Linked DNA regions of Caenorhabditis elegans. The protein of the gene in region 1 interacts with the protein of each later gene in a biochemical or structural test. Each region holds a gene or a part of one and is shown on either strand. Other genes may lie near its edges.

The links.
Region 2: the proteins of fbf-2 (region 1) and gld-3 form a complex in vitro, tested with the Caenorhabditis elegans proteins (one study listed by BioGRID).

The regions. Positions count from the first base shown.
Region 1 is NC_003280.10:6,081,941-6,097,508, reverse strand, and holds fbf-2 (Fem-3 mRNA-binding factor 2), read left to right. Parts: upstream 1-6,028; 5' UTR 6,029-6,136; coding exon 6,137-6,178; intron 6,179-6,226; coding exon 6,227-6,460; intron 6,461-6,508; coding exon 6,509-6,684; intron 6,685-6,736; coding exon 6,737-6,989; intron 6,990-7,032; coding exon 7,033-7,646; intron 7,647-7,697; coding exon 7,698-7,826; intron 7,827-7,872; coding exon 7,873-8,076; intron 8,077-8,120; coding exon 8,121-8,367; 3' UTR 8,368-8,646; downstream 8,647-15,568. Other genes in the region: tpp-2 (Tripeptidyl-peptidase 2), read left to right, coding at 78-188, 281-385, 435-1,384, 1,432-1,659, 1,707-2,497, 2,551-3,021, 3,067-3,304, 3,351-3,694 and 1 more; nspg-3 (DUF19 domain-containing protein), read right to left, coding at 4,754-4,964, 5,013-5,109, 5,153-5,307, 5,427-5,689; F21H12.3 (uncharacterized protein), read right to left, coding at 14,003-14,450, 14,501-14,589. UniProt on the Caenorhabditis elegans protein: RNA-binding protein that binds to the consensus sequence 5'-UGUGCCAUA-3' in mRNA 3'-UTRs. Involved in the control of stem cells and sex determination in the C.elegans hermaphrodite germline.
Region 2 is NC_003280.10:7,127,064-7,144,593, forward strand, and holds gld-3 (Defective in germ line development protein 3), read left to right. Parts: upstream 1-5,579; coding exon 5,580-5,704; intron 5,705-5,752; coding exon 5,753-5,834; intron 5,835-5,875; coding exon 5,876-5,986; intron 5,987-6,031; coding exon 6,032-6,102; intron 6,103-6,144; coding exon 6,145-6,310; intron 6,311-6,354; coding exon 6,355-6,483; intron 6,484-6,527; coding exon 6,528-6,647; intron 6,648-6,693; coding exon 6,694-6,771; intron 6,772-6,815; coding exon 6,816-6,953; intron 6,954-7,000; coding exon 7,001-7,243; intron 7,244-7,291; coding exon 7,292-7,390; intron 7,391-7,438; coding exon 7,439-7,607; intron 7,608-7,749; coding exon 7,750-7,872; intron 7,873-7,916; coding exon 7,917-7,985; coding exon of another isoform or gene 7,986-8,074; exon of another isoform or gene 8,075-8,264; intron 8,265-8,320; coding exon 8,321-8,398; intron 8,399-8,442; coding exon 8,443-8,682; intron 8,683-8,729; coding exon 8,730-9,156; intron 9,157-9,275; coding exon 9,276-9,648; intron 9,649-9,692; coding exon 9,693-9,741; and 4 more. Other genes in the region: F10E7.1 (ATP-dependent DNA helicase), read left to right, coding at 1-61, 131-330, 376-515, 560-722, 948-1,863; T07F8.4 (ELM2 domain-containing protein), read right to left, coding at 3,634-3,811, 3,853-3,914, 3,967-4,319, 4,367-4,562, 4,612-4,721, 4,764-4,820, 4,872-4,953. UniProt on the Caenorhabditis elegans protein: Required maternally for germline survival and embryogenesis. Forms a complex with gls-1 which promotes the oogenic cell fate by freeing the translational repressor fbf to repress sperm promoting factors.

The DNA.
Region 1 (15,568 bases):
ACAATATAAAAATAGATAAGTAGCACACCAAAAACGCTCGCCTAAAGCAGATTTTGAATCATTTTGTTTTCGCATAAATGATAGTGATAAGAAACTGGCAGCGTATTAGCTATTTATCATTTTGTCGATTTTCAACTCGATCACTGTCAATTCAGCAATTCCAGAAAACTCCTCTGTTGCTGGTAGTGGTGGGTATTAACAAATTTATTCATTTAATACCAGCTTTTGCTAGACTATTAATTAACTACAACGTTTCATAATTTTTTACGTTCAATTTCAGAGGCAACAAGGATCTGCACGTTTAAAAATGACTTCTTCTCCTCCTGAAATAGTCCCGCAACAGCCATTAGATGCGTTGCTTCTCAACAAGACGGATACAGAGCAGGTTACAATTTGATATTTTTTTAATTTTAGTTCCAATGGTTTATTTTCAGGAAATATTTCTCACAAAATACCCCAATTATGATGGAAGGGATATTTTGATTGCAATTCTGGATACAGGAGTTGATCCATCGTTGCCGGGAATGCAAGTTACAACAACCGGAGAAAGAAAAATGTTTGATGTTATTGACTGTTCTGGAGCTGGTGATGTTGATACCTCGATCACAAGAACTGTCAAAGATGGAGTTATTGAAGGAATTTCTGGACGAAAATTAGCGATTCCAGAGAAATGGAAGTGCCCAACTGGACAATACCATGTAGGACTGAAGCCAATCTTTGAGCTCTACACGAAGGGAGTGAAATCTCGTGTTATCAGCGAACGGAAAGAGGATGTTGTTGGACCGTCTCATAACATCGCAGCTTCGGAAGCTTTGAAACAACTTACAGAACATGAAAAAGTAGTTGGAGGTACCAGCGAAAAAACTTCAGACAAGTGGGCAAGAGAAGACTTTGCGTGCAAAGTTGATTTCCTGAAATCAATGGCTTCTGTAGCCGATGTTGGACCAGTTGCTGATGTCGTCACCTGGCATGATGGTGAAATGTGGAGAGTATGCATTGATACATCTTTCCGTGGACGATTAGGATTGGGCAATGTGCTCGGAACGTTTCGTGAAACTGGCGACTATGCTTATCTTACTAATAAGGATTCTGTTGTGTATACTGTGCGAGTGAGTCCCGATGGAAACCTCACGGAAATCGTCGTCCCATCTGGTGCACATGGAAGCCATGTTGCAGGAATCGCTGCTGCAAACTATCCAGATAATCCTCAAAAGAATGGACTTGCTCCAGGAGCAAAAATTCTCTCACTAAACATTGGAGATCATCGTTTGGGAGCTATGGAAACTGGACAAGCAATGACGAGAGCATTCAATATGTGCGCCGAGTTGAACGTCGATATCATTAATATGTCATTCGGAGAAGGAACTCATTTGCCGGATGTTGGGTAAGACATCGTTAGTCTATTGCTCAGCGTTCAGAGATTTGTTTCAGACGCGTCATTGAAGAAGCTCGACGATTGATTAATAGACGAGGCGTGATCTACGTTTGCTCAGCTGGAAATCAAGGACCTGCGCTTTCTACTGTCGGTGCTCCTGGTGGAACTACAACTGGTGTAATTGGAATTGGTGCTTATTTAACTTCCGAATCAGCTGATACGCTCTACGGTGTTTACAAGCCTGTCGAAAGTAGTATTTACCCATGGAGCTCTAGAGGACCATGGTAAGTTTTTTTTCAGTGTTCTTGAATTTAAAACTTTCATTTTTCAGCCAAGACGGAAAGCTAGGAGTTAGTCTTGTGGCTCCAGCGGCTGCATTTGCTGGAGTTCCTCAATATTGTCGCCAAAGTATGCAAATGATGAATGGAACAAGTATGAGCTCTCCCAATGCAGCTGGAAATGTCGCTTGTATGCTGTCAGGATTGAAGCAGAATAATTTGAAATGGACTCCATACACCGTTCGCATGGCATTGGAAAATACTGCCTATATGCTTCCACATATTGAGTCATTTTCGCAAGGACAAGGAATGATCAAGATCGCCACTGCGTATGAAAAACTTTCCGAGATTTTAGTCAATAAAGTGTTCCCACCAAGACTGACACATTTCGAGATCAATGTATCGAATCACTGCAAGAAATCGAAAGGTGTATATGTTCGTGAGCCTAACTGGAATGGACCGCAGGAATTCACGATTGGCGTTGAACCAATTTTCCAGAATCATCTATCTGATAACAATTTACCTGCAATCAGTTTTGAGAAACAGATTATTTTACAATCAACTGCTCCATGGGTTTCTCATCCACAAACAATGTTTGTGGTAGCTCAAGAAAGAACAATGGTTGTGACCGTTGATGCATCAAAAGCACCAAAAGGTGCAAACTACACTGAAATTGTTGGAATTGATACGGCTGATCCATCATTGGGACCGATTTTCCGTATTCCGGTTACTGTAATCAATCCTGAGAAGGTAGCGGTTGATCAATACACTTCTAGACTTGTTGGTAAATCGGGAGTCACCGAAAGACGATTTGTCGAAGTACCGTCGTGGGCAACCAGTGCAAGTAAGTAAAAAATGAAAATTAAAGAAAATTCTATTAATCTCATCATTTTACAGAGATAACACTCCGATCTACTAACAAAGACGAAATGGATAGATTTACACTTCATACGGTCTACATTGAGGATGATAAATGTTCCCGAAACACAGAAACTCAAAAAATACAGGGTCCAATTGGAAATGAATGGAGCAAGTCGATTACTGTTCAAGGTGGAAAGACTCTTGAAGCATGTGTTGTTCGTGCTTGGTCACGTGGAAAGAATCCTGTGGATGTTGACATGACCATCGACTTCTTTGGAGTCAAAAAGCCAACTTCTATTTCACTGATTCATGGAGCAACTAACACGCCCATTCGCTTCCAAGCTGCTCCAACGAAAAGTATCGACGTTTCTCCTTCGATTTCTCTAAAATCACTTGTTGTATCACTGAAACCACAATCTGCCAAAGTAGAACCATTGGGACCACGTGATATGTTCCTTACGTCTGGACTTCAAATCAATCGTCTTCTGTTGACTTATCAGCTTAAAGGTAACCTTTTTTAACTACATAATTATTAAAATATTATTTTTTCAGTTCAAAAACCAAGTGAAGTGCAACTTCAACTTGCTGGCCTTACTCCATATTTGTATGAATCTCCTGTGGACTGTGTACTCTTCCAAATTTTCGGAGCAAACAAGTCGTTTGTGGGTGCTTCTTCTTCGTACCCGGATCGTTGGACTCAGAAGCTTGAGAAAGGAGATTATACTATTCAGGCTCAGATTAGATATCCGGATGATCAAGTTTTGCAAGGAATGAAGGAACTTCCTCTGCTGTAAGTAATTCTTTAAATTCTAACTGAAATGATTTTTGTGTTTCAGTGTTCATGTGAAACTTGGAAACAAAATTTCTGTTGACCTCGCAGCTTCTGCCAGCGATGCAACACTTGGAAAAGAGTGCAAATTTGCTGGAAAAGCCCTTCTTCCAAATCAAGAAATGACCGTCTACGCTATGAATATCGCTGATGATAAATTGCCAAAGACTATCGTACCAACAAGTGGAAGTTTCCTTGCTGGAACATTTAGTGCTCTCAAGGATTCTGATTTGAGTGATGTAGACAAATCTGAAGTTATTTACTTTCTCAGTGAGTACTCTACTCGTCCTACGAAAGGATTGTCAATGGTTACAACAAAGAAAGATACGAATCAAAATCAGGAAATGACTGGTAGATAATAATTAAAAATTGTATCTTTTATTAAATTCATATTTACAGACGCCATTCGCGATTTGGAAGTATCATGGGTGCAAAAATTGACAGACGAAAAGGCAGCGAAAGAATTTTTCGAAGCTTGTCTGCAGAAGTATCCAGATCATCTCCCACTACTTCAGAATCGAGTAAAGCAATTGATGCAAGCAAAACTTGTGGATCAAACACCGGAAAACGTGCAGAAGATTATTGAATTATGTGGTCAAATTTTGCAAATCACAAAACCGAATGAAACTCTTCAGTTCTCATCCGTCAAGCAAGAACATGATGATGATCTCCTTACTGTTGACAAATGGCTGGCACTAACCGGAGGCAGTGAGGACCAGCGAAAGGATGTGGTGAAGTTGATTTCACAATTTGAGGAACGGAAGAAAAGTATTATTCTCGCTTTGCAAGCTCTTTCATCATTGGAGCAGGATATTGAAGTTCGTAAGAGCAAGTTCGACGTTCCAGCAAGTCTTCGTTTCGGAGGAATCACTCCTCTAATTTTCGGTGGAAAGCAAGGAGAAGTGATCAATAAGAAGTCTGAAGGTTATGAAGCACTGAAATCAAAATCTGAACAAATTGATGCAACTGTCTCTGAAGAACTGAAAAAGTTGGATAGTAATTGGACTGGAAATCAGTTTTACGTCAAGCTTCTCGTTTGGTTGTCTGCTGATGATACTAAAACTGCACTGATCTCTGCCAAACATGCAGCTGCTCTTGGACAATTTGGAAGATGTGCAAAGCTTCTCAACAAAGCTGGAGATGAACTGAAGTCGTCTGCTACTGATTCGCAAGCTGTTGATACATCATTGGCTGAAGTCTGCGAAAGTCTCGAGTGGAATCATCTTGCTACTCACTTTAAAAATTCGGCTCTGATCAAAAACAGAACCTCCTACCGTCTTTTCTAATTAGTGTATCATAAGAAATTTCGCGGGTTTCTTTTTTCTGGAAGCTTTTTTGCTTCCATTTCCGTTGTGAATCAAATGATTTTCCCATTTGAATAGATAAACTTTTATTGTTTTATAAATGAGATCAAACAAAAATTTTGCAGAGATACATTAAAATTATTAAGAAGAAGAATGTTCGAGGTTGCGACGAATTGATGCATGGCATGTACTCACAGAAGTTCCACCCAGTCATGTGGGTGAGAATCTTCTGATATTGGCAGTATGATTTGACAGCACTATTTCCACATGATTTTCTCACTACTGCTCGCTCACATTGTGTGGTTCGTGATACGGAGCTCAAAATTAAAAACTAATCTCAATAAGTCTGAAACTATTAGACTCACTCGCAACTGCCAACTTCCAAAACGGAACATTCAGTATAAATCGTGTCAGAGAGATCATTCAAACTGATTGCTTGCATACATTCATAATATGCCACAACTGAAATATTTATAAAACAATGAACGAGAATGAAAAACCTCACAATCATTTCCATAATTACAATAGAATTCAAGAAACCCCGTTTGTGAGATGTAATAAGCTGCATTGCTTTCTGAACCAAAAATTGCATTGAAAGTGTTATAGTTGAGACAATCATTGATGACGTCACTATGACAGTGACGTAGAGTTGTATATGTACTGTAATTATTCGTCTTTTTTAAAAATATTTATTCTAGCATGTAAAACCGGTTCTATTGAAATTCTTCAATAATTTTACAATTTAAAAGGTGTTGCAATGTTGTAATACCTTCACATACCTACACATTCCAGTGGCATCGTACCGAATTTTCTTAAATGGATCTTCGTCTGCTGGGGGAAGGCTAGTCACATTTGAACCATATGATTGAAACATATCTATATAACATTGTTGTAGCACTTGATCTTGATCAGAACTGCAGTTATGCAGCACTCCTTCGTTTCCCGCTACGGTTTGCTTCACTAGACCTGCTAAATCAACTTCGAGTGTCTCTAGCGATTTAGTAACGATCGTAACCACAACAACGAGAATATTCCAAATCATCAAATATAGGGAAAGAAAATTTTGTGTTTCGAGCAATTTAAAGTGTTTAGTCTGAAACAGAATAGCTCGTAAAATGTCGTCACCGTCAGTCGACCGGTTTATAGCTTTTCGGGAGGTTGAAATGTGTTTATCAATTTGATATGTTACGGTCCCGGAATTTTCCAAAAATTTTTATTGTTTCTAGTAATCATTAGTAATCAAATTGATAATTATTTTAAATACACTTTTTAATTCTTGAAACATGTGATTAGAATCTCGCATTATTTGAAAATTTCAATTTGGTTACGGTAGACAATGACAAAGTACGCAAACACCAGAGTATGTGACACACTTTCGTCATTTGCGAATTCGATTTTAAATATTATTTTCATATTCCCATTCCTATTTTCTGTGAATTGATAATTTTTCTATGAGTAATCATTCTAATAAAATTATCAACTAATCGACATGGACCAATCAAAGATGCGCAGAACGAATCAGTTCAGAAAAGTAAGTTTTCAGTAACTTCTAAAGAAACAAATGGCCTAAGTTTTACAGACTTCCCAGAAGCCTCCTTCTACAGGGATTGACAGTTATCCGACTCCCGCACAATCACCAATGGCGCAGCATGAGACACCTATGTGGGACTTCAACTCTCTCAACCCGTATTTCTCAATGCTCAATATGAACGATGGGATTAATTATGCTCGCCATCAACAGAATCACATTGTTACATCGCGGCCACCAACCCCGCTAACTGATTTGATGAGCCTTCGGAGTTTTCAGAGCTTTGTAAGTTAGAGTAGGCAATTTTTGGTTGTTTTCATTACTGATTTGCAGCCCAATGTGTTCATGCCGGTCTCGCGTAGCCGAACTTCATCATTCATTCAGTCTGATACGGATTCCTCGCGTCTCGAGTCGGATGATTTTTCACAAAATGTCCGATGTTTCTCTGCGGATATTGATCGTAGCAAGAGCTATGGTTCTTCAAAACACTACCATTTGAAATATTCGAGGTTCGAATTAATTTATCACTATCCTCTAGTATTTATTCTTTTTTATTTATAGACCCGCTCTGTCGAGGAACTCTAGATCATTCACAAGATCAAACAATGTGCTGCCAACCTGGTCCTTGGATTCCAATGGTGAAATGCGTTCAAGATTGTCGCTCTCTGAAGTTTTGGATAGTGGCGATTTAATGAAGTTTGCCGTTGACAAAACTGGGTGCCAGTTCCTAGAAAAGGCAGTGAAGGGCAGCCTGACATCTTATCAGAAGTTCCAATTGTTTGAACAAGTTATTGGGAGAAAAGATGATTTCCTTGTAAGTTTTAGTTTCTGCGAGCACACATGACTTTTCTTTTCAGAAATTGAGCACGAACATCTTTGGAAATTATTTGGTACAAAGCGTTATTGGAATTTCATTGGCAACTAATGATGACGGATACACAAAGCGACAAGAAAAGTTGAAGAACTTCATCAGTTCCCAAATGACAGATATGTGCTTGGACAAATTTGCGTGTCGTGTTATCCAATCCAGTCTCCAGAACATGGATTTATCCCTTGCGTGTAAACTTGTTCAAGCTCTACCTCGTGATGCTCGTCTTATCGCAATCTGTGTTGATCAAAATGCCAATCACGTCATTCAGAAAGTCGTAGCAGTCATCCCACTGAAGAATTGGGAGTTTATTGTGGATTTCGTTGCCACCCCAGAGCACCTCCGTCAGATTTGTTCTGATAAGTATGGGTGCCGTGTTGTGCAAACTATTATCGAAAAGCTCACTGCTGATTCAATGAACGTTGATTTAACTTCCGCTGCTCAAAATCTTCGTGAACGAGCGCTCCAACGACTCATGACTTCTGTGACTAATCGGTGCCAAGAATTAGCTACGAACGAGTATGCCAATTACATAATACAGCATATTGTATCCAATGATGATCTGGCCGTTTATCGGGAATGTATCATAGAGAAATGCCTCATGTGAGTGTTATTGTTTAATATCTACTTGATTTTTAATCATCAATATTTCAGGCGCAACCTTCTTTCGTTGTCCCAGGAAAAGTTTGCTTCTCATGTTGTTGAGAAAGCATTCCTACATGCACCATTGGAACTTCTTGCCGAAATGATGGACGAGATTTTCGACGGATACATTCCACATCCGTAAAAACATTAGTTTCAGTCACATAAAAATGAAATGTTTTTTCAGGGACACGGGAAAAGATGCCCTCGATATCATGATGTTCCATCAATTCGGAAACTACGTCGTTCAATGCATGCTGACTATTTGCTGTGATGCTGTGTCTGGAAGACGGCAAACGAAAGAAGGAGGCTATGACCATGCAATCTCATTCCAGGATTGGCTGAAAAAGTTGCACTCGAGAGTTACGAAAGAAAGGCATCGCTTGTCAAGGTTATCACTATTGTCACAATAATATTTTGAAATTCGAAATTCAGGTTCTCATCCGGCAAAAAGATGATCGAGACGCTTGCCAATCTCCGTTCAACTCATCCGATTTATGAACTCCAATCTTCGGGACACGATTCATTCAAGACGGATTACTTCAGTACTGCTTCCGAGCACGATGGTCCGGAGTTGGAGAAGAATGGGATCGAGGAAGGAAGCCTGATGCTAGAGCCACGGAGCAATAAGTCTTCAGTCTCTGTCAAATTTTCTTCTTCCGGTAGTCACGGCGATGATTAAGGTGGAACTTTCTCACCATAAATCTCATCCCACCCACTTATGTTCTGTTGTTTTGTAATATTTTAAACTGGTGCAATGATTTCGTTTCGATTTTAAGATCGATGTTGTGCCTTCCCCACTCTTATCATTGCCCAGTTTTGTTTTTTCTTTTCTTTTTTGTTATTTTATTGCTTTTTATGCAGTTGTGTTATTGTTTCTTTCTGTTTACTGTTCATTGTTTTTGTTAATTTTTTATTTTCGATTTTAATGAATCCAGATAAAATTAGACAACTTGGCAAAATATCGTTCGAGTCTTTGTCATGCTTCCACCGAGAGCTTCCTGCTTCCATACAATGCCTGCTCAGAAAACAATTTTGAAAGCGAAGAGAAAAGTTGTTCTTTGCTCGGAGAACAAAAAACTGATAACCGACAAATGTTGACTTTGTAAATTTAATCAAATTAGAAACCATGAAGAATAAATATAGTTCAATTATCATATTGAAATTTATCTTACAATTGCATCGATTTCAAAATAATGGGACTCTCAGAAAATAGAAAAACAAAAATTGGATACTGGGGATGAGGAAGAACTCCGCGAACATTGGCGGTCCTTCTCTCATGTGGTCCTCGTATAGGTGGTGGCAATCCTCTCATTGTTATCCAACATCGAGAAAATGTTCTTCGGCTAGAACTCTGAAACAAAAATACTTTCAAATTAAAATTGTCAAGATAAATTCGTACTTCCTGACACAATTTGTGTTGTTGCAGCGTTGAATTCGATTCCAAACCAAGTGGCAAGACCAAGACCCAGCAATGATGATGGAATAGTTGAATTGACAGAATTCCTCGAGCATATCAGCAATGGATGTTGATGCAAGTGGATGCAATGTTCTTCTTTTGTTTCTCATCAACGTTTGCCTTATGATTGTGAAGTGACTTGATGAACTCTCTCTGCCATGCTTAAAGAACTTGTTCAGCAGCAATTTCGTTCCATGCATCAATGTCTAATCCAGCCTTCATAGAGTTTCTTCCAGGCTTCTGCTTGAATCTCAAGAAAACATAGGCGGGGCTTGCAACGAGAAAAACTGATTGAAGAGCATCATCTCCTGATAGTTTTCCTCCCTTCTTGGCACGTCTTGGATCTCCTAGTATCATATCTTCAAGCCAATTAAGAACGTTAGATGCGAAACCAGAACATCCACTGTGTATACATATTCATCACTTCGGACCATTTGTCTTTGTTATCTTTCAACCATTCGAAAACAGACTTCCGGTATTATTTATAATCTGAAACATGACTTTATATTTTAATAGAAAAACGAATTTACTTAAATACAGTCTTTCAATTCTCTGGCTTTTTGCTTTTTCTCTTTTTCTTCTGCAGCTCTGGTTTCCTCCGGTGACAAAGTAGTCGTAGTTGGAATAGGAGCAGTTGTTACTGGAATATTTGCTGGTACTGCATCTTCAACTGCTGGAATCGCATCTACTGGTCTTTATTCTTAATCTTAAATTTTATGGCAAATACTGTTTTACTACTTGATCTTTTACTATGTATCTCTTTTACTACAAGATCTCTTTTACTACGGAATCTCTTTTACTACGAATTCCGCATTTAGATCTTTTACTACAATTGGCTCTTTTACTACGTGATCTCTTTTACTACCATTTGACCACATATATCTTTTACTACGGAAAATACTTTTTTACTACCTCATTTTTTACTACGTGGATCTTTCACTACGGTTTTTTATTCCGATGTTTTGCTACAGTTTGTATCTTTTGCTACGGTAGACATTTTTACTACAATGGCAGGGATTGTACTTTTCACTATGTTTCGTATCTTTTACTACTAATTTTTTACTACGAATTAAAAATTAATGTCTATAGTATTTTATATTCTAGATATAAACAAATGTATGAATTTTTTTTCAAAATACATAGGTCATAATTGTAGATGGAGTTAATGGAGGGAGACTGTTGAGTTACTGTAGTGGTATTGTGGAAATAACAGTTTTCAGATTATATAGTGTTTTTTTTAATTTCTGGAAATTTATTCACTATGAAATGAGCAGAACTTATTATGGCCATTTGGATCTAGAAATTAAAAAAAACACGATATGATCTCTTGCTCTCTTGTAAAACTTTTGTAAAAATTTCAGAAACATTTAAAAAGTCCTCTATAAATGTTTTAAAACTCAGAAGATTTTCTGAAAATGAAAATGTAGGTATCCTATCTCGGTCGTCAATTTATTTGTCATAGTTTTCAACTACAAAGTTGTTGAATATGGTATGATCTACGATTTGTCAGTTGAACATTTTTTTACCAAATTGTTTTTTCGCGGAGATATCGGTACTTGGAGTCAATACGTTTTATGAACTAACTTTTGACAACTTATCTCCGTTTTTTTTTCAAATCTAAAATCGTGATATAAACATTCAAATTGACCGAAAACAATAATAATTTTATACAAGATTCGATAAATTTAGAAAAAAAACATTTCTAAAGTGTTGATCAAAAGTTTCAAAATGTCAGCTGAAGTCAAAATTTTAAACACCTGACAGATAACTGACCGAACCCGCAAGTTTTTTATTACATTATAGACTTATACATATAGACATTATAGACAAAACTTATAGAGCAACGGGTATGGAACTAATTTGTTGGCTATGCGAAAAAAAAAAGAATTACTCCCACAATACCACTACAGTAACCCAACAGTCTCCCTCCATTAACTCCATCTACAATTATGACCTATGTATTTAAAAAAAACTATTCATACATTTGTTTATATCTAGAGTATAAAATATTATAGACATTAATTTTTAATTCGTAGTAAAAAATTAGTAGTAAAAGATACGAAACATAGTGAAAAGTACAATCCCTGCCATTGTAGTAAAAATGTCTACCGTAGCAAAAGATACAAACTGTAGCAAAACATCGGAATATGAAACCGTAGTGAAAGATCCACGTAGTAAAAAATGAGGTAGTAAAAAAGTATTTTCCGTAGTAAAAGATCTATGTGGTCAAATGGTAGTAAAAGAGATCACGTAGTAAAAGAGCCAATTGTAGTAAAAGATCTAAATGCGGAACTTGTAGTAAAAGAGATTCCGTAGTAACAGAGATCTTGTAGTAAAAGAGATACTTAGTAAAAGATCAAGTAGTAAAACAGTATTTGCCTTGAAGGCAGTAAGCAAATTCGTTTTTTTTTCTAGTAAAATATAAAACCACGTTTCAGATTGTAAATCATACCGGGAGTCTGCTTTCGAATGGTTAAAAGATAACAAAGACAAATGGCCAGAAGTGATGTCTGAAAACATGTACCCACAGAATGTTGATTACGCAGCAGAGATGACTGGAGGATGTTCTGGTTTCGCATCTAACGTTCTCAATTGGCCTGAAGATATGATACTTGGAAATCCAAGACGTGCCAAGAAGGGAGGAAAACTATCAGGAGCTGATGCTCTACAATTCGTTTTTCTTGTTGCAAGCCCCGCCGATGTTTTCTTGAGATTCAAGCAGAGCCTGGAAGAAACTCTGGAAACTCTCTCTCTCTATGAAGAACATTGCATCCACTTGCATCGACATCCATTGCTGATATGCTCGAGGAATTCTGTCAATTCAACTATACCATCATCCTTGCTGGATATGCTCTCATGCTGGCATATGCTATTGTTACTAATTCTCGATTTGACAACTGCCTTCCGGCTACAGAATCATCAATGGGGGTTCGCCCTTGCAGGAGTTCTTGTCGTCACATTCGCTTCAGTGGCAGGTATTGGTCTCGCCACTTGGTTTGGAATAGAATTCAACGCTGCTACAACACAAATTGTACCATTCCTCACTCTTGGAATCGGTGTTGATAATATGTTCATGTTATTGCACAACTATCGTGACGTTGTTAAACTTGCTGGCGGACACGCTGAGATGGCTATCCTGATGCGTGAAACTGGAATGTCAATTCTGTGCACTTCGATCAACAACATTCTTTCCTTCCTCACTGGAACTCTTCTACCAATTCCAGCTCTGCGATCATTCTGTGCTCAGTCCAGTATTCTTCTCACATTCAATTTCATAGCTATCCTTACAATCTATCCAGCGATCATTTCTATTGATCTTCGACGAAAGAAGGCTCAGCGTCGTGATTTCGACACTAGAGAAGAATCGTACTCGATGATTTCTAAACCAAAGATTCAAAGTAAACGAATTATTGGAGCACTTCGGAAGCTTCGATTATGCAACAGTTCGACGGAATAACTCAAGCGCAGATGGCATCGAGCGATGATCCAGCTCCATGGTCTCTTCATTCATTCATCCGTTACTACTACATTCCATTCATTTCTAAACCAGCATCTAAAGTAGCAATCATCGTTGGCTGCTGTGCTTTGCTCGGTGCATCATTTGTTGGAATGCGTCAGTCGACACTCGGTCTTGAATTGGGAGATGTTCTACCAGAACATACTGCACCTGCACAGTTCTTGAGAGCCAGAGACAAGTACTTCAGGTAAGAAGTTCGTTTTTGATTCAAAACATTTTTTTTTCTTTTTTCAGTTTCTACCCAATGTTCGCAGTCATCAAGGGACCTAACATTGATTATGCTCACCAGCAACGCCAGATTGACAATTACCGACAGTCGATTGGATCTTCAAAATATGTGATTAAAAATAAAAACGAAGAGCCATCAGAAAAGTATTGGCTGGGATTAATGCGAGACTGGCTCATTAGTATTCAACGCGGATTCGATGAAGAAGTTGCTAAAGGATCATTCAATCTTACATCTGGAACAGTTATTGGCAGCAATGTTTCCGAGGATGCTCGTCTTGCTCACGCTCTCATGTGCTCTCATGGTTCTCTATTTGAGTGTGCTGGAAGAATAGGAAAGATTCGACTAGTTGATGCAAGTGGAATTATCAACTCTGATGGATTCTACAACTTTCTTCCCAACACCACCAAAATGGGAATTGAGCAAGAATAATACCGAAAACTTCATCCCAACTGCTGAGCCACTTGCATATTCGCAGATTCCATTCTACTTAACTGGCCTCACGGATACTGCTGTGATTGTCGATGCCATAAAGGACATCCGAAGTGTTTGTGAACGATTTACCGATCAAGGACTTCCAAATTTCCCACAAGGAATCGCATTCACATTCTGGGAACAATATCTTTTCTTGACTGGAAATCTTATGCAAGCCATTTCGATCATTACCATCTCTGTCTTCTGTGTCATTTCCGTTCTTCTTTTTAATCCATGGGCTGCACTTATGGTTGTTTGTATTCTCGGAATCATGACTTGCGAACTTGCCGGATTCATGGGACTCGTTGGAATTAAGCTCAATCCGGTTTCAGCCGTAACTTTGATCACCGCAGTTGGAATTGGAGTCGAATTCACTGTTCATGTGGTTGTCTCATTCCTGACGGCGCTCGGAACAAGATCTCAACGAACGTCATCTGCAGTTGATCGAGTTTTTGTTCCAGTAATTCATGGATCATTCTCCACACTTCTCGGTATTTTGATGCTTGGATTCTCAGTTTGAGTGAGTTTTACAGAAGTATGGATGTCATCAGAATTTTATTTTTCAGATTTGTTGTCAAATATTTCTCTATTGTCATGACGGCTCTGATTTGCATTGGAACGGACTAATTCTTCTCCCAGTTTTATAATCTTGTTTTGTTCCAAGAAGAGAGATAAAATGTTTTGTTCCAAGAAGAGAGATAAAATAGAGATTCCGTAGTAAAATATCCAATTGTAGTAAAAGATCTAGATGTGGAATTCTTAGTAAAAGAGATTCCGTAGTAAAAGAGATCCTGTAGTAAAAGAGATGCGTTGTAAAAGATCAAGTAGTAAAACAGTATTTGCCCAAAGTCTGACCAGCGAATCATATCATCAACTGACAGCGCACTCAACGACGTCCCAAGTGATCGGAGTGAGGATTTTGGGAGAGATGGATGCGGCTCAAAAGCTTTCGATCCATCGCAAAAATAATCTATTGGAGTAATCCAAATGCATATCATATCGATGACGTCACCAAGCGAGGAAGCGGCAGAATCGGCTGCGACAGATGGTGGAGCTGGTTTGAAGCAGATGTCGGATAGAGACCAGTCCCTAAAATGATCAATTGTTACAAGAAAAATATATTGGTAGTCTTCACTTACACTCCATGAACTGAAACGTTGAAACTAGCGATGTGCTTCATAATCTCGGCGTGTTTTAGAAGAGCGAAGAGGTCCTGCAGCAAGTGCATCTTGTCCCACACGTTTTTTTTATTTTCCAATAATCCACATTAATTGTAATCAATGTTGCAATCTGAAAAGTGAAAATCAGCTAAATCAGAAAAAAGGAAACAACTTACGTTGAGAGTTTAAATATATAAAAACCAGCCGTTCGCACGCGCTGAAGCGCGTGCTCCGACTGGCGTACTCAAAATTAAAATCAAATTCTGAAATTTCTGAGCCTTTCTTTGCAGATGAAACGTTTTTCCCTGTTTTCCGGAAGTTCTCGAGCAACATAAATATCTACAAACTATGGAACAAACGGCCTTCATTCCGAGATGACAAACTTTTTGGTGGCAAAGGTTCTTTGGGGGCATAGTATCCAAGGAGACAAAGTATCCAGTAGACAAACTGGGGTGTATCTTGGGGGGCATATCTTTGGTGACAACCTTTTTTTCAACTAGATTTTTATATGTATTTTTCAACTAATTTTTGTTCACATTTTTCTGGAATAAGTTTTTTAATGCAATTTTCAATCGATTATCGGTTATAATTCCCTCACAATTAAATGTATGAACGATGGTCTTTTGGGAAAAGCTGTAAAAGGTCCAACTAACTTGGAATATCGTGAGGCTCTTCCTGATGGTCTGATCCTTCAGCTCCGAGGGATCACATAGGTACCTTCTGATGTTCTGATCCTTCAGAAAAGAAGGATCGTAAGGGTACCTCCTGATGGTCTGATCCTTCAGCTCCAAAGGATCACGAGGCTCTTCCTGATGTTCTGATCCTTCAGCTCCGAAGGATCACATGGGTACCTTCTGATGTTCTGATCCTTCAGATAAGAAGGATCGTAAGGGTACCTCCTGATGGTCTGATCCTTCAGCTCCAAAGGATCACGAGGCTCTTCCTGATGTTCTGATCCTTCAGCTCCGAAGGATCCGACGTCATCATCTCGAAGAATCTTACGATATTCCAAGTTAGTTGGACGTTTTACAGCATTTTCCCAAAAGA
Region 2 (17,530 bases), 1.0 Mb from region 1:
AATTCTGGACAAGATTTTGAACAATGTATCGAAATATGTTTTTCCCTTGATACCGTTAAGGGTAAGTTGTATCATGGTTTAAAAAAGTCACAAAATCTAAATCACCAATGACAATGGAATTTATATTTAGCTGATAAAGAAAAGTTTCAACGAAGCAGTTCTGCATAAAATCCGGAAAGATCATCGTGAAGTCGTCCTTCATACTGCATACCATTGTGATGTAGCAGATGAATACACAGAATACATGGGAACTGATTATGAGTGCCGTTACTGTTACATATATTTAAACTATCAGAAGGTAACCAGTAACAAGATGTCTTCATTTTTTAGGTAAGAAAAGCATTTTTAAATAATTTTTGCGTATGTTAATTACAGATTTCTAAAAGATACTGTAGCAGTTAAAATTGTGAAGCTAATTCTTGAACCAGCTCGTGGGTTTCCATTTAGCCATTTCTGTTTAAATAACGATCTGCTGTTTCACAATATTATTATGAACGATTTAATAGGGAATAACTGTGAGTTGATTAATCGAAGTTTGAAACAAACCATATTTTCACAGATAAATCGATATTACATTTCGAAGGAATGATTGATATATGTTTACACGGATGCTTTGATTGCATGAGAATAATGTTAAACTGTGAAGTATACGGCCCAGCACAAATTAATGTTATTCGTAGAAAAGAACCAAAACACTTTAAAGAACTGGAGTTACCGGAAGTGTAAGTTTTGAGTGATTTGATTTTTTTCTGGCTGAACGATTTTTTGAATCATCAACAATATTTCAATGATATGTCAATACTAAGTCATTCAATTCATTCGTTAGAATTTTCGCTAAATTGAGAACAATCAAATAAATAATCATTCAAGATTTCCCGACTTTGAATGTTTGATTGCGAGAAAGTTAGAAGGAATTGGAATTACTACTTATAATCAATTTCATTCAGGATGGCTGACTTGCCGGATGATCCTCCAAATATGGAATTCAAAGTAGGAATAGAGAATTGGGAAATGGAAAGCATCAAGAAAACAAAAATTTCATGCGACAAACTTATTTTAAGGTTGTCACACAGTGCTGTTCCAAATCCAAGAATTTGGTACTATAAATATATAACAAGAGAAGTTATTGATATCATTATTTCAAACTGGAAAGTGAAGACTGTAAAATTAATAATCACAATTAATAATATGGAAGAGTTTATTACAATTCCTGAACAATTTCATTTATTCACTAAAGAACGACTTGGTGATCCAATCTCAACTCATCCAATTTCTAAAAATTCATTGGAGAAAGTGGAACTAGATCTACGCTTTGGTGTTAATACTTTGGTTAAAATGTTTCATAGAAGTGCTGAAATATTACCAACGGATAATATCATTGAAAATGTCCGAAGAATTTTTCCAACCAAGAACATGATTATAACTCTTCCAAATAGTTTCTCACCACTTCCAGTCGAGCATCATTGCCGTTTTGTTATGATGTTTTTGAGAATGGGATTTCCGAAGGGACAAAGAAATTTCAATGTCACATGGAGATTGTTTATTCACGAACCGATTTATGGAACATCACCAGGATTTAAATATAGAAATATGGTGATTCCAGCATTCAACTACAAGCCAAAGCCGTGGGAATACGAGTCATCACTTCAGAATAATCATTTATATTTTGAGAAAACTGTCAAGTTGCAAGATGAACAGGAATTTTCTTTTTTCAAAGAGGTCAAAATCTGGAAAGGAAACAAATTCTGTGTCAGAAATGCATATACAAATTGTAATGTAGATATAGATTTGTATTTCGAGTCCAACTTGTTGAAGAAAGTACTAAATACACTCAATAAAATTGAAAGCCAATCAATTAATTAAATGCTTCCGTTGTTAACCTTTTTAATTGCTGCATGTTTTTAAATATTTTATTGCTTTCAATTTTTTTTCATAAATTCAAACTTATTTTCTCGTTTTTTGATTTTTCATGAAACTTATCGATGAAAAGTGCCTCAGTCTTTCCCATAGATAATTTGTTATTAATCAAACCTCGGTGCTGCTCAAACAATTTTCAGCCAATTTATCACTTGCCCAAATCAGTATAGTTTTGGGGAAATACTTTTTGACTACTGGATTTTTGACTACATGGCTTTTTGACTACGGGCGTCTTTTTCGCTACTGACTAAAAATACTAAAAATTATAGCAACATTCGCACTTTTGTCTTACCGCATAAAATCCAATGCGCGTGCTCCAACCAACCGCAGTTGGCCCATGATCCAAGGGTACACCGAATTGGGGGTACATTTGTTCTTAGGGTACATTCGACATCATCACAATCATTATTAGGGTACATCCACCGGTTTGTTCAGAGGGTACATCCATAAGATTTTTATAGGGTACATCGGCACTATGTTCCAAGGGTACATCCAATTTTCAAGGGGTACAACGGATTTTTATAACTGAAATTTCTTAGAGTTGTGATTTCTCATTTTTTTCACATAGGATCATAATTTTTTGTTTTTTAACTGCCGTATTGAACCATAGTTTTGTTTCTTGATTTCAATTTCATTTCGCATTAGTATTTTTGATAAATAATTCACAAAATCGAAATCTAGAAACAAAACTATGAATTTATTCGAATTTTTCAATACAGCAGTTAAAAAACGAAAAAATTGTGATCATATGCAAAAAAGATGATGAGTGTTATGTATTCGATGTTATGTATTCGATGTTATGTATTCGACAATGTTATGTATTCGAGGCTGAACCAGGAGGCTAAGACGAGTAGTTTATTATTACATAAATAACAAAGGAATAAATAGAAAGTTAGTATACATAGATCATGAGTTCACGTTGCACGATCTTCATATCCACGTTGAGGGCTAGGTACACGTAGATACCCAACACCTTTGAAAATTGGATGTACCCTTGGAACATAGTGCCGATGTACCCTATGAACAAACCGGTGGATGTAGCCTAAGAATGATTGTGATGATGTCGAATGTACCCTAAGAACAAATGTACCCCCAATTCGGTGTACCCTTGGATCATGGGCCAACTGCGGTTGGTTGGAGCACGCGCATTGGATTTTATGCGGTAAGACAAAAGTGCGAACGTAGCTATAATTTACTCTCTCTCTCTCTCTCTGAAAACGGGGTCGATAAGTGCAAAATCTACGGGATTTAACACCAAAATTTCAGATGCAAATTTTCAGATACTGAGACCGAGATGGCAGAATTAAATGTTGGTTTTCAGTAGACAGTAACATTATCTTCCGATTGGTATGCTTTTTGCTCCATATTTCCACCATATTTTTACGGGGCTCCCAGTTTTTCACTTACATGTGGTGAAGGATCACAGACCAGAAGAAGACGTGTTGTACGTGCTAGAAATGATGACTGGGAGGAAATCGAGTGTGATGATACGGAGACCGAAGTCCGACAGTGTACGGGTCGTCATCAATGTTGATAAACTCTAATTTTAACAATGAAATTTTATGAAAGTGAATATTTGATTCAGATTAATTTGACAACGAAGGAATTTGATTGTTGTGATTACGTAAATGGGTATCAGGGGCGAGATTATTTGTTAAACAGAGATCGAAAATAATAAATGCTTAGGTGAAAAAGTAAAAAAATAGTTCCCTAGTTTTAGTTCGTAAGAGTTGATGGCTCCTCTGAAGTAGATGGCTCGGAGAAGGAGGCTTCAACAAATCCAGTTTGACCATTTTGATCTTCCAGTTGAGCTACTTGCTGATGCCATGCAGCAGATAAATGAGGCTGAACTACTGGCGCATGCTGTGGATGAGCGTCCCGCCAAACTCGATAGCTGAAATAAATTATTAAAATTTGAAATCGTCGTTCTCTCACCCAGGGGTTAATTTCCATTGATAGTAGTATTCGATAAGTTCTCCAACTTTCCGGTAGGGTAGCTAAAATAAAACATTATGAAAACTTTTTGAATTTGCAAAATATACAACTAACCCGTAGTCTCCTTATCAGCGAAAAATCTTTTCCATACAGCTCGAGTGACTCTTCAAATGCCTTTGCTTCACTCTCATCGAATCCCAATGCATCTGAGCGAACAGTGCGGAATGGGGCATTTATATGAGGAAAAGGGAATGATTCTTTCGCCTTTTCTGTGTCAAAGTTGCTTCTATACAAAGCACATAGAGCGTCCTCGTCGTCTCGTGATTCGGTGCCAGCTGGTGGACATGGTTGGTCGTGGGCTTTTCGTAAGCCTACTACATCTTTGAGATAGTTGTCAATAACTTCATCACTTGGCTGATTCGTCTGATCAATTGTCCATAAAATAGTGTCATCTTCTCGAGCAGATTCTGAAGAAATAAATCGATATAGAATCAAAAATCAGATCATTGCTTACCTTCAACCGTTGCTTCATTAAAAAGCGGGACGTCGGCTTGGAAAAGTACTGGATCCACACGAATACTTCTTTTCCATGGGTCTGGCGGTGGTGCATAGTCGTCATCATCGTCGTCGAAGCCACTCATTGAATTACCCATATCGAAAATTGTTGAGTCGTGCGGTTCTGCAGCAGCCGAACTTGATTCCCCTACATTCTGAAAAATATAAACATTTTATAATTTCACTTTATCATTTGTAAATTACTTCTTCGGCGATTTCCGTATCTTCATTGTTTGCAGATGAATTTTCCGCTGGACGATAGCCATACTTACGTTGAAGTTCTTCAATTGACATTTCTCCCTCATCTTCCAAGTCTGAAAAGAAAAATGAGTCAGAAGCAAATTAAAGAAATTCACCTTTCAATTCATCTTCGTAGTCCCCTTCATCTAGAAGCTCCTCCTCTTCAATTGTCGCTGGAAAACCATACGTTGAAGAAATTTGAAAAAATATATATATAAGCATACCTTCATAGTCTTCGCCATTATCATTATCGTCTACATAATCTTCTTCATCAGTGATAGACGAACGAGAACCCTCTTCATCCATATTCAAAGCCTGGAAACTAACAAAAGTTGTATTAAAAACGGAAAAAGCGAAAATAAGTTAAAGCGGTTTGCGCGTCGACTAAGACGTAATTCTCTGTGTGCGGTGTTTGCGGACTTGTTTACAGTAGCTCGCAAAATAAAAAATGATGCAAAGCCAATGGGTGTTTCTAAAAAAGGGGAAGTTAATTTTGAAAAAGTAGAAAGCAACACAGATATAACAAAATAGTATAACAATTTATTAAAATGTAATTCAAATGTTCAGTCTGTTAAATGAAGCCGCCCCTAATATTAGGCAGCTAATCAAATTTAAAAAGTACAGTAACCAAGAAAGTTTTCAGAAAGGCGCATTACCGAAATCGAGCAGGTCTTACAACGTTCTTCAAGGAGATTGTTTGGCGCCCAATTCCTCGAACACACGTTCAGCGTGATTTTCAGTGTGTTTTCTCATTTGTTTTCGTGCAATTTCATCCTTATAATGCTAATATTATCTGTAATTAATCGTTCCACGATGATACTAATACCAGTAACATCGACGGAGGCACTGACGATCATTTATAAAATATTTGAAACTCAAAAAATTTACTGAGCAAACGCTTTAGTGTTAGAAACAAGATTTCAATTTTGCAGATGGGGGAGCAAAGCCATGAAAAAGATCATGATGAAGCGCACTCCTACAATCCATTCGTTCGCTCTGCCGTTGAATACGATGCTGACACACGCCTCCAAATGGCAGAAAATGCGGCATCTGCAAGGTATTAAATATGGTTTACGCTTACAACATTCTAATACTCCGATTTTAGAAAACTATTTGTATCGTCTGCCCTCAAAGATATTATCGTGAATCCTGAAAACTTCTATCATGATTTCCAGCAATCTGCACAGGTAAAGGCAACAACTTGTTATGTTACAGTCAAACAATTCAGATGGCGGAGGATGCTAATCAGAGACGACAGGTGTCATACAACACGAAACGAGAGGCTCATATTCATCAGCTAAAAGCGCAAGGATTGCCTCTGCCGTCAAATATACCAATGGTTTGACTGCTTCACATTCCACTGATTAACTGATTCAACATTTAGATCGAGATTAACCCAACTAGAGTAACCCTCAATATGGAGTTTGAATCCCAATACTATTCACTAATGACCAGGTTAGTTCACCAGTTAAGCGAAAGAAATTGTATTCATTTCAGTGACAACGGGGATCACGAGAATGTCGCGTCAATCATGGCAGAAACTAACACCCTCATTCAACTTCCCGATCGTTCTGTCGGAGGAACTACACCTGATCCATTTGCACAGCAAGTAACCATCACTGGATACTTTGGTGACGTGGATAGAGCACGAATGTTGATGAGAGTACGTTCAACTCTGATTATATGAATAATGTTCGTATTTTACAGAGAAACTGTCATTTTACAGTTTTTATGGCACTGTCAAAAATGAAGATGCCACTTCACGAACTTCAGGCACATGTCAGACAGAACCCCATTCAAAATGTGGAAATGTCTTTCGTCGATGCTCCAGAAAAGGCAAGCCGATTTAGCTAGTAACCAACAGTATTAATTTTCTTCAGAATGGAATCGTCACAACCTATCTTCGTATCACCGCCCGCGAAAAGAATCAGCATGAACTGATCGAAGCTGCAAAACGACTGAATGAAATACTTTTCCGCGAGTCTCCGGCACCGGAGAATGTTAGCAGATAAACTGAATATATATCCTGAACATTTTGTTTTTCAGAATTTCACTCTCCATTTCACATTGTCAACATACTACGTGGATCAAGTTCTTGGAAGTTCATCGACGGCGCAACTCATGGTTTGGCTAAAGGATATTTCTATTACATCAGCATTAAATTTCAGCCTGTAATCGAGAGGGAGACAACGACAATAATTAGTTATCCATGTTACAATAATCGAAACGAAACTCGTGGAAATATTTATGAAATTAAAGTTGTTGGGAACATTGACAATGTTCTTAAAGCCAGGAGATACATAATGGTGAGGAGTATGAATACATAGAAAGATATACACTCGAGAATTTACAGGACCTCCTTCCTATTTCGATGTGTTTCAACATTAAAAATACTGATATGGCAGAACCGAGCAGAGTTTCTGATCGGAACATACACATGATTATTGATGAGAGTGGGATTATTCTTAAAATGACTCCTTCCGTGTATGAGCCCGCGGATCTACTGTCAGGAGAGGTTCCGTTGAACTGTGCCAGTCTTCGTTCGAAGGAGTTTAACATAAAGAAGCTGTACACCGCTTATCAAAAAGTTCTCTCGGTAAGCGCACGTCTCTCTGAAATGAGATTAAGAACAAGTAATTTTCAGAAAAAATTTGATTTCATTGCTCCACAACCAAATGATTATGACAACTCCATCTGGCATCATTCTCTTCCGGCAAACTTTTTGAAAAATTTCAATATGCCGGTTAGTCATGTTTATTTTACATTTTAGTTCAAAACGAGATTTTTTCAGTGTCGGGGTGAACTTTCTGATGGTTCAAACGGTCGTCGTCATAGAAGCTCATCAATAGCTTCTTCTCGTTCCAAACACAGTTACATGAGCAAAGGAAAACAATTTTCTGAGTCGTCTGGGGGTCCATCAAGGTCTCACACAAGAGTATCTTCGTTTTCCGAAAATTCATGTGAGCAATTTGCCTTTTATGATTGTAAATAGTACACACAAATTATACTATAAAATTATTTAAGAAAAGCATATCAAATTTATTTAAATAACAATGATAATAATATTACTACAGAGTGCTTTAAAATCAGGAAATTTTGCAGCAACCGTCCCTATTATGCAATTTCCAACGCCACATTTTGCACCACCAATGTTAACTCCTCATCATCACATGCTGAAATACGTCTATTTGCAGCAACATCAGCAAGCTCAGACATTTTTGAAAGGTTGCTATTATATATTTTGTTTCGACAATCATACAAGCTTTCAGGTGCAGCTGGATTACATCCTGGCACACATATCATGTTCCCTCCACCGATCATCGTCGATGGATCCTTTGGTGCGCGTTATTCTTCAAATATTTATCCATTTTCTTACATAGTTCCACAGAACTTTAACTTTTTGAACGGAAATTTCGGTCACCTTTAGAAGATCTCTCGTCATGTTATATATTCATCGTGTAAAATGAGCTCTTCATGAAAAATTTGCCAAATTCTGGATAGTTTTAAGCCACAAAATTTTCTCTTGTTCCTCCTACCGCCACTATGTAATATTTGTCTTTTCACCCGGTTGTGATGATCTTATTACGTAAATTCAACCACAATAAAGCGTTTAGCTTCCATCAATATTCTATGTCTTCGTAAAAATTATCATTATTGAAATTTTGTGTTTCAGTGTCTGCTCTGCCATTTGCGGATCCTGTAGTATTTGATGGTTTTCCTTATGTCCACGGATTGTTTCCGGTAAATGAAGGTTGGTTTATTCGTTCAAAGCATCATTGCAACAATCACTTTCAGCCGAACAACACAGAAATCACCGTGAATCATCACCATCTCTACGATCAACACAAGAAATCAGAAAACCGTCTAGAAACATGGGAAATCGACCATCATCGAGCACAGGTTCTTATTATCCATCGACAACACCTCGTCAACGTGTTTACGAACAAGTTCGAGAAGATGATCTTCGTTCACATATTGGTTCAAGAAGAACATCAGTGAATGGAGACGATCAGAATGTTGAAAGCATGCACGACCGTAAGACTATGACAATAATAAAATTGATAAAATCATAATTATTACAGAAGGATATGAAAGACAGTACCCACGACAGCATCAAAGACTTCAGAAGGATGATCAACAACGCTGGAAGACAGGAAGTCGTGGAGATATTCACTCAAGTAGAACAATTAATGTGCACAGAGACGTTCGCAATTCCAATGAATACGACTTTCATGTGGGAAATTCTGGGCCAGCTAAGAGGTCCCCGTCTTTGGAACAAGTACAATTGCAAATGACACACCACTTGAAGTTGAAATCGAATGATGTTGATTTGGATCATGAAAAGCTTTATATGCATGAGTCACCGCACAATGATTCTGATACTACAGTTTCTGCAAGTGGCTTCGGAAATGATTTAATGGATGGAGACTTTGTTCAGAGATTCCTATCCAATGCAAATATCAATGAATCGGGAAGAAGACCAAGAACAGTTAGCTGTTTTACCGAGAAGTACGTTTTTAAAGTTGAAATTAAAAGAGTTTATAGCTTTTCGTTTACATCATAAATGAGCATTTTTAATTTGCAAAAAATACATATTTAAGCATTCATATAATCAAAACATTTTACAGAGATGGTCAATCCGCCCGATACATCGATTCTGATGGTGCATACAGCGTTGTTGATCATGCATCCACACATCAATCTCGTTCATATGATAGCTTCAGAAAAGTTGGCGACAACGGAGTCACAAAAACCATATTGGAACCACGTGCTCGAGTAGAGAAAGATTATGGCAAAATAAGCCTAGAACACAAGACGAAATACTCAAATGAGTACGGTGATGAAGAGAAGTCAGCAGAAAATGATACGTCTTCGTTGGGATCTAGACAATACAGAATTGATCCAATGAAGTTAATAGCTAGTGTTCGTGAATCGAGTGAGCAACTACCACGTATTCATGAAAGGCAGTTTAGCGATGTTCTGAATGAAAAAGAAAAAGAGGCAAGTAGTCTATTGGCTTGCCATAATTATCTGTAAAGCTTCAGATCGCCGACAAAAGTATTGAATCTACAGTAACCCAAGATCTTTCGTTAGGTTTGTAAATCCACAATTGGCTAATTAACATACATATATTTCAGACGAAACATCTACATATTGAGAAATCGGGATTTTTCCAATAGCTTCTTCTACTTCTTACATCAATTTTCGCTATATATGAACCCTATTTGTGCATATCGTATACGGCTCCATCAATTTTTATCTTACAAACCATCCATTTGCCTGTCGAGAATATCTTTGTATCCACGGGACTTATACGACTAGGCCGATGGTTGGTGCTTAGCCTTCACAGTTCTACACTTATTTTAACCGAAATTATTTTCCAATTCTTCCCGTATTATTTCATTGTTGTCACCTCTTCGTTCGTCATTTTTCTATCTTTTCATTCCTTTTGCAGACGTTGGAAGCATAGGTAACATGAAAAATTAAATGAATTCACAATGAAATTCAGAATTTTCGTGCATCTATACTTCCAATTGCAATTTATGGCACTGTCGATGTTCCCTTCCCTATATTTAATGTTCTTCCTTTTTTCTCCCATAATTCCCAGTTGTTTTTGATCGCAATATTGTCCCGGGTCCCATCATATCTAGGTTTGTTTCAATGTATTCCATCTTTCCTTTCTTTTTTCATCACTTCATATACACTACCACTTTTATTGTCTTTTCTTTTTTTTTCGTCATTCAACTAGGATTTCATTAGCAGTTTATCCCAATTTCCTCTACAGTTCTGTTTATAAATGAAAGAATTGCGGAAATATTGTTGTTAATCACATCTTATCGTCCGACAACTTTCGATTCAGCAAGGACATGTTCATTGATAATGTTCTAAATTTCTAATATGGAAAGTCTCTTGGTCGTTCAAATCCTCGCCATAGTCTTCATACAAGTGGAAGATTTTGATTTTAGAAAGACTAAAATTAATTCGTCTCACTTGAATGTAGCGATAAAAGGATAGAAGAAACAAAAAAATTTTTCCTGAATTTCCCTGAATCGATACACTTTCTCCATATAATCGTAAAGCGAGGTCTCTCTTTTTTCTTGAAACGGACTGTCCATTGGAGGCACTTATTTCTTGAAATGAGCCAATCTTCGACCGCCTGACTCTACTCACTCCATAATTTCATCTGCATCATCTTCTTTTCCCAAACCAAAAAATGTGTATTCTTATTCAAAACGACGCTTGTTTTTTTTAATACGGAAAGAAGATTTGATGACAGACTTCCTTGGATTTTTCGTTAATATGTATATGTGTAAATTTTTTTCAAATTAAAGATAGTAGTGCATTGGGAATATTGTTAAAAAATCACTCATATAGTACTAAAATGACGATGACTCGGTTTTCCACACTCATCATAATTTTGGAAGTCGACAATTTTTTTTCATTATTAAAATGTTTCTAATAATAATTATTTTATTATTGTAGGAGCTGAAACATGTGATTTTTTAACCGAATTTTTCCTGAATTTTTCGCGAAATTTGGCAATTGACCAAAACATTGACTGAAAATTTCAAAAATTGTGCTTTTTTGAAATTCTTTTTTGAATTGTGCAAAAAGTGCTTTTTTGAGTGAATTTAGATTATTATGAGTTAATTCAAAATAAATCCACGTTAAAGCTACTCCATCTGGAAAGCTTAAAAAATCGTTCTTTTTTGAATAAAGATAAAGAAATAGAAGAATCGATTATCTGATTACCTCTCTTCAAAAGATTTTGAGAAGACACTCAAAGTAAACCTGTCTGCCTTATTCAATTGCATTCACTTAATGTTCATGAACATATTCTCGTATTGAACATTCTTTTTTTGGCTTATTCATATAAGTTATTTCATTTGCACTTTTCAATTTTTATATATTTTTGAATCTACGCGAAACATTCTATGATTCAAAAGTTTGATCTCTCTTAAAATCTGAATCATATTAGCGTCGTTGACCAACTAAATATCGCTCATTTACGTACGCTCTGTGAACTTTTTTGGGAAGCACCAATGATATTTTAAGAAGCTTTTTGATGAAATTATTGATCTCTTATAACTGAATTTAATTTTCTTTTGTTGAAAATGAATAAGATTTGAAAAAATTGGCAGCATGTTTTATTACGTTCTATTTTAAACAAACTTGTCAGATCAAGTATAAACATCAAATTAGGCAGAAAAAACATGAAAAACTTTAATCTAGGCAGCAAAATGATTACCTTCTTTCAAACAAACCTAATGCTCCAAAACAGGGTTTATTTAAAAAAACAGGCTGTGTAGGCAGTAGGTAGGTGTTTAGGCAGACAATCTGTGTTAAACAATTTTTTAGTAACTCTATGTTTTCTTATAAACTATCTTTTTGGTTTCGTTGTTGCAAAACCGCGTTCAGTGCTATCCATTTCTTTGCATAAAAATAATAATTAACGATAAGAATTAATAAATCATAAAACATAAAAATGTTTGACAAACAATAAACAATAACCTTTGACAGAAGAAACTACGCCATATTTCGCTTTTTGATGCCCCTTTTGTCTCGTTTCTTATCAACAATAGTTGTGTAAACGGAGACTGATAGTAAGGACGTTTACATTAAATTGTAGATCCTTTTTCTTTCTGCGTCTTCTTTTTCATTTTTCTTCAATTTTTAAAAATACATTTATTCATTGTACATTTCAATAATATCCATCACTTCTCTCACTTTATCGCTTCTTTCTAATCCCAAATGGCTGACATTTAGATCGGATTTTTATTCTGATAAGAGAGTACTAAAATGTGTAGATTCGCAGATATAACAGGAGATGCACGGGGAATTGAATGATATCCTTGGAGGGAGCTGATAATCTCGTGTGTTTTGAAGGAAGCAAGATTCTTTCCCCAGTTTTGCTTATAAGTTTCCATAATTTTTGCACTGAATAATTCCACGTCAACAAACGGAAATTTGGGTTTAGCAGACAATTTGTAGTTCTTTATGTTGTTTACGTGGCATTTTAATAATGAGGTCATCATATGTTGACTTTCTTTCAAAATGTGATGTTCACGCGTAATAACTTTTTGGTGGCGTAGTTCTACCACATTGTGGTTCCTATTTCTCAAATCAGAATGGTACAATAATACTAAATTTTCAGTTGAAACCATTCAAATGTAGTATATATACTATGATCCGGACTCAACATTTCTATTTCAAATCTTTTTCCTCTCTTCTCTGGCTTGGCTTGAAACTATTTCAAAGATTATAGAAATCGAGGTTAAGCTTTAATTTTTATTAGAATCGATAATTCCCACTCAAACTGGTTTTTGAAACGAGACACCATAAAATAAATGTCTTTTTAGAACCAGAATGACACCACGTACCAATTTATTTTCAGGATCAGAAACCTTTCAAAATGCCAAATATATGAAAGATGAGATCCAATATCTGTGTCGGATCTTTGTGAAAGTTATTTGTATGTTATACAGAGATAATATCAGAGCTCCTGGAAATGAAATTTCCTAGAATAATGGAATTCATTTGTCTTCCAGAGTATTCAATAAGAGATTGTCTGATTTTTCCCTAAAAGTATTTTATTTAAAATTTTAACTAGGTTAGTTCTATTTCCTACTACTCTTAAAATTCTTAACATTTAAAATCAAAAATTATAAAATACCAGAGTATTTTGACAAAATTTCTAATTTTTGACTTTTCCTTTGTTCAATAACTGAATAAACTGCATAAAAATTTTAAAAATACATTTTCAAGAAGTCTCATGAAGTCTCATCATTATGCAATTTGTAAGTTAGTATCTTTTTATCTTTTGAAATAATTACAAAATCGTAACACTCAAAATGTTCAATACTTTCTCTTTTTAACAATTTTCATAAACCGCAAAATACTGGAGCAAGCGCTTGAAGTCTCTGTACAATTAGAAAAAAAAGAAACTAAAATTTTGAATTTCAGAATTAAACTGAAAAATTGTCGAACGTAGTGAAAGTTCAGTTTCTTAATATATTTTCTTGTTTATATAGAAAGAAAATTGCAAAACAGGAAATTTGATGACAAGTCATGTGCCACAATTTCATTTTTACGCAGTGTTACAAAGGAAAATAGTTTAAATGTATTTTATCAAAAGTTTTTACGTACATTTGAGAATTATGTTTGATATATACAATATGGCCTGTTTCAGATCACCTGCTTCTTGCTCCATTCATAATAATTATCACAACTAAAAATTCCCTTTCTGGGAACTTTTATTTTGTTGGATAGCTCTTGCGGAACATGTAATATTAAAAATTGGAAAAAAATACATTTTACTTTTTTCATGCTTTAAATTCCCAAAAAGTTAATTTTGGCATTTTTCCCAATTTTGTATTTATTCCAACATTGACTACTTGGATTTTGGTAATTTTTGAATTGATCAAGAACTTTCCTATGTTGTCCTAAGTAGTTCTTTACTTTAAATGATAAAATATGAGACAATCAAGAAATTAACAGCTGAGCTGTATAAATTATTGTAAATCTGCATCATCATCTTTAAAAAGTTGAACTGACAATTTTGAAGATTTATCTTAAAACTTCTATTTGTAGTTTCAAAACTTCTATTTGTAGTTTTTTTGTAACAAAGAAACAGCTATTAATTGCGAGAAAATAAATATTTCAGTATTGGTTAGTGGTGTGCTATAATAGAATACAAACTTGCAGTTTGTGTTTTTTTTTTCAAAAAAAAAAAAACGTTCAGAGAATCAATAAGTAGACCTTTGCTACAGGTGATAAAAATTTACAACAAATAAAAAATTCGCAGTCTGTTTTCTTATCAAACGAATTTTAAAGATTATTTTTGCCAATGATGATTTCTGGACTTCATATGAAACTTTTTTTGCTCCAAAAATTATTTGCATTCATAAGTATCCACCCACCTATCACTTCTAAATCTATTCGTGTGTTTCTAAACTTGTCCTTCCTGTCACTATAAATATCAGAATGGACTCCTCCGCTTCCGGTCTCTAATTTCCTGTCGACTTTCCCTACATTCATTCATCTGCTAAATCTCTCCGCCTTTGCATCCGGAAGAACTCTTCCTTATCATATCTTTTCGCTTTTTTTCAGATCAATTTCAGATCATCTCATTTTTTTCCCATAAAAAGTGTGATTCATTAGTATTTATTTCCTTTAGTGTATTATCTTTAACTGCGTATATCTTTCCCCCCGAAAAACCCCCTTCTTCACTAAAAATCCTTCGCATACTAATCTGATAGTGAGCAAACCGAGTGTCTCATCGTCACTCACACGTGCCTCAATAATAATGCTTCTCTCACTTTTTTGCTTCTGCTGCAATATTTATGAACATTTTTCATTTTTATTTTTCTTTAATTTTCATAGCTCGATGTTCACTTTTTTACATATCTTGCTGCAGGCTTAGAAATTTATCTGATCTAATTTTTTTGTTTATTTGGAGAAGTACTACTCTCAGTTTGGTGTCTCAAAACTTTTAATCATTTCAATGTTATCTCGTGAACAGTAACACATGAAAAAACAAACAAACGCATATTGTCTACACTTGTTTCTTGAAGAAATTCTGCAGAAAACTATAGCAGCCGACACCTACCTGTTCTCAATTTTTCCAATAAAATTAAGCCTTCGACGTAGGCATAAAACTCACTGCCTGCCTGCCTTCGATGCGACTTACGACTGTCTCGAATAAAGGTTATTTGCATTGAAAAAAATTATCAAAAAAAAAGTAACTAATCCTCACATCATTCATTGACCACCAAGTGAACACAAAGAATTTTGAAAATCTTTTTCTGTTTGACTCAAAGATGCCTTACTATGAGACAATATTATTTTTCTAGACACAAGAAAAGTTCGAGGCATGAAGTGGTTGTCTTCTAACGCGGAACAAATCTAATTTGTGATCTCGAACACGTTTGAGGTTTCGATCAAAGAACATAAATATCTACATTCAAAACACATCTCTCGGTTTTTTTTTTAGTTTTGGGTAAAACGACATTCAATATTTGTTGATAAATGAGAACTATTATAAAGGTATTACTTTGAGTATTAATTTATTAGAAACCATCCAGGTTCTATCAATGACTCCGTATTCTAATGTTATTCTAACTGCTCTGGTTTATCCTTCTAATACCCTTCTAAAATCCATATCTGTTTAAGATTTTTGTATCTTGCTCTTTTGGATATTTTTCTACACTTTCTCTGTCAGTCAGACATGAACAATTTGATTATTTCTTTCAACGCTTTCTTATGTTTCTTCTATTTTTCCATCTTTTCTCATTACTTCCTTTATCAATCCTGAATATTGCCGTTCATAAGAATCAGTAAGATTGGTTCTAAAATTGATAAATGTATGTTTTCACTATCATTATTTCTACGTAGCTTTTCCTTTTTCAATCCTTGTCAATTGATCCCTCGTTATCTCATTCCTTCTCATAATTCTAATTGATTTTTTAATCCTCATTCCATCATTCCGTAATTTTATGGGCAAGTACATTCTTATTTAAAGTTTTACAATATTTTAAGATAATTTTTCCGATGAAACAATGATCCATTTTGAGACTAACAAAACAATAAGAAAAATAGAGTCTGAAACTGCTAAAATCCAAGAGATCTGTGCTGTTTCCTTCTTCAAAAAGCTATTCAATCCACCCCGTTTCTACTTAAAATTTAATTTTTTGTATGTAAAAAGTGTTTGGAAATTAGTATTTCAAACTATAGAAATATGGAATGCGTAGATGATGCTCTCTATGTCAAACTTCTTAGAAAGAAGCTTGCTACAAAAAATATAATCCGTTTAAACACATAGGCTTAAATATTTCATTCAAATATTCAACATTTGTTAACTAATTCATTTTCCAACAAATTATCCAAATAATTTTCGATTTCAAAAGAAAAAAAAACAAATATTGCCAAAAAACATTGTGTTGAGTACAAAGAGTACATAAAATTATTCTCACATGTACATAATGTAATCACAAATTTATTCCATTTTCTTCTGATCACCAGTTGATGCTTTGTAGGCGTCCATATATTTCTTGCCTGTTTTAAATTTCAAATTTTATCTTGAGAATGGCCAACAGGAAAACAATGTTTTGCTGCAGTAGAGAATATGCACAATTTTTAAAAATGTTTTTAAAAAAGATAATTGGAAAGAGCAAATTGGGATTTTTAATATCATCATGCTTCGTCTGCAACTTTTGAGTCATTCCAACATTTTTATGTGTTGTATTTGTGGATGAATGAACTTTAGGTCTTCCTGTAATTGTCTGCTCAAAGAGTCATAGCTCTTTTCTCACCTTTTCTAGTGCACCTGATTCCCTACATTACTTTTAGCCATGCCTACCGAGATACGAGAGATACGACCTCAGAGTATCTCTCGGTACGGTACTGTAAATGGCAGTTTGGGGATCGCGTGTAATCATTTTTATAATTAGTAATTTTCAGCCTTAAAAACATAGTATTATCCATAAAATGTTCTAGATCCCATCTTGACATCCTGGATCAATCGACATAAACTGTTCAAATCGTTATTAATTAAAATTTCACTGTGACGTGGAATTTTTTATCGATAGGCTGACGTTGTGGTATGTAGTCCCTCTGTCAATCTCTCTCTTGGATACTAATCCTCCACCCTCTCAATTTTCTCCCCCGCCCCATGAAGATCCAGCTTTTATTGAAGGTCTTCACACCTATGTTCGTTTTTTCTTCTACTCGAAATATTTATGCTTTTTTCTTTCTTTTGCTCCATTTTTCTTACTTTTCAATTAGCAAGTTTGATTTATGTCTCTTCTTTCCAAGTCAATTCCAAATTTATTCCCCTCTCCGCCTAATTCCCAAATCTTTTTTCTCATATTTCGTTGCTCACGAA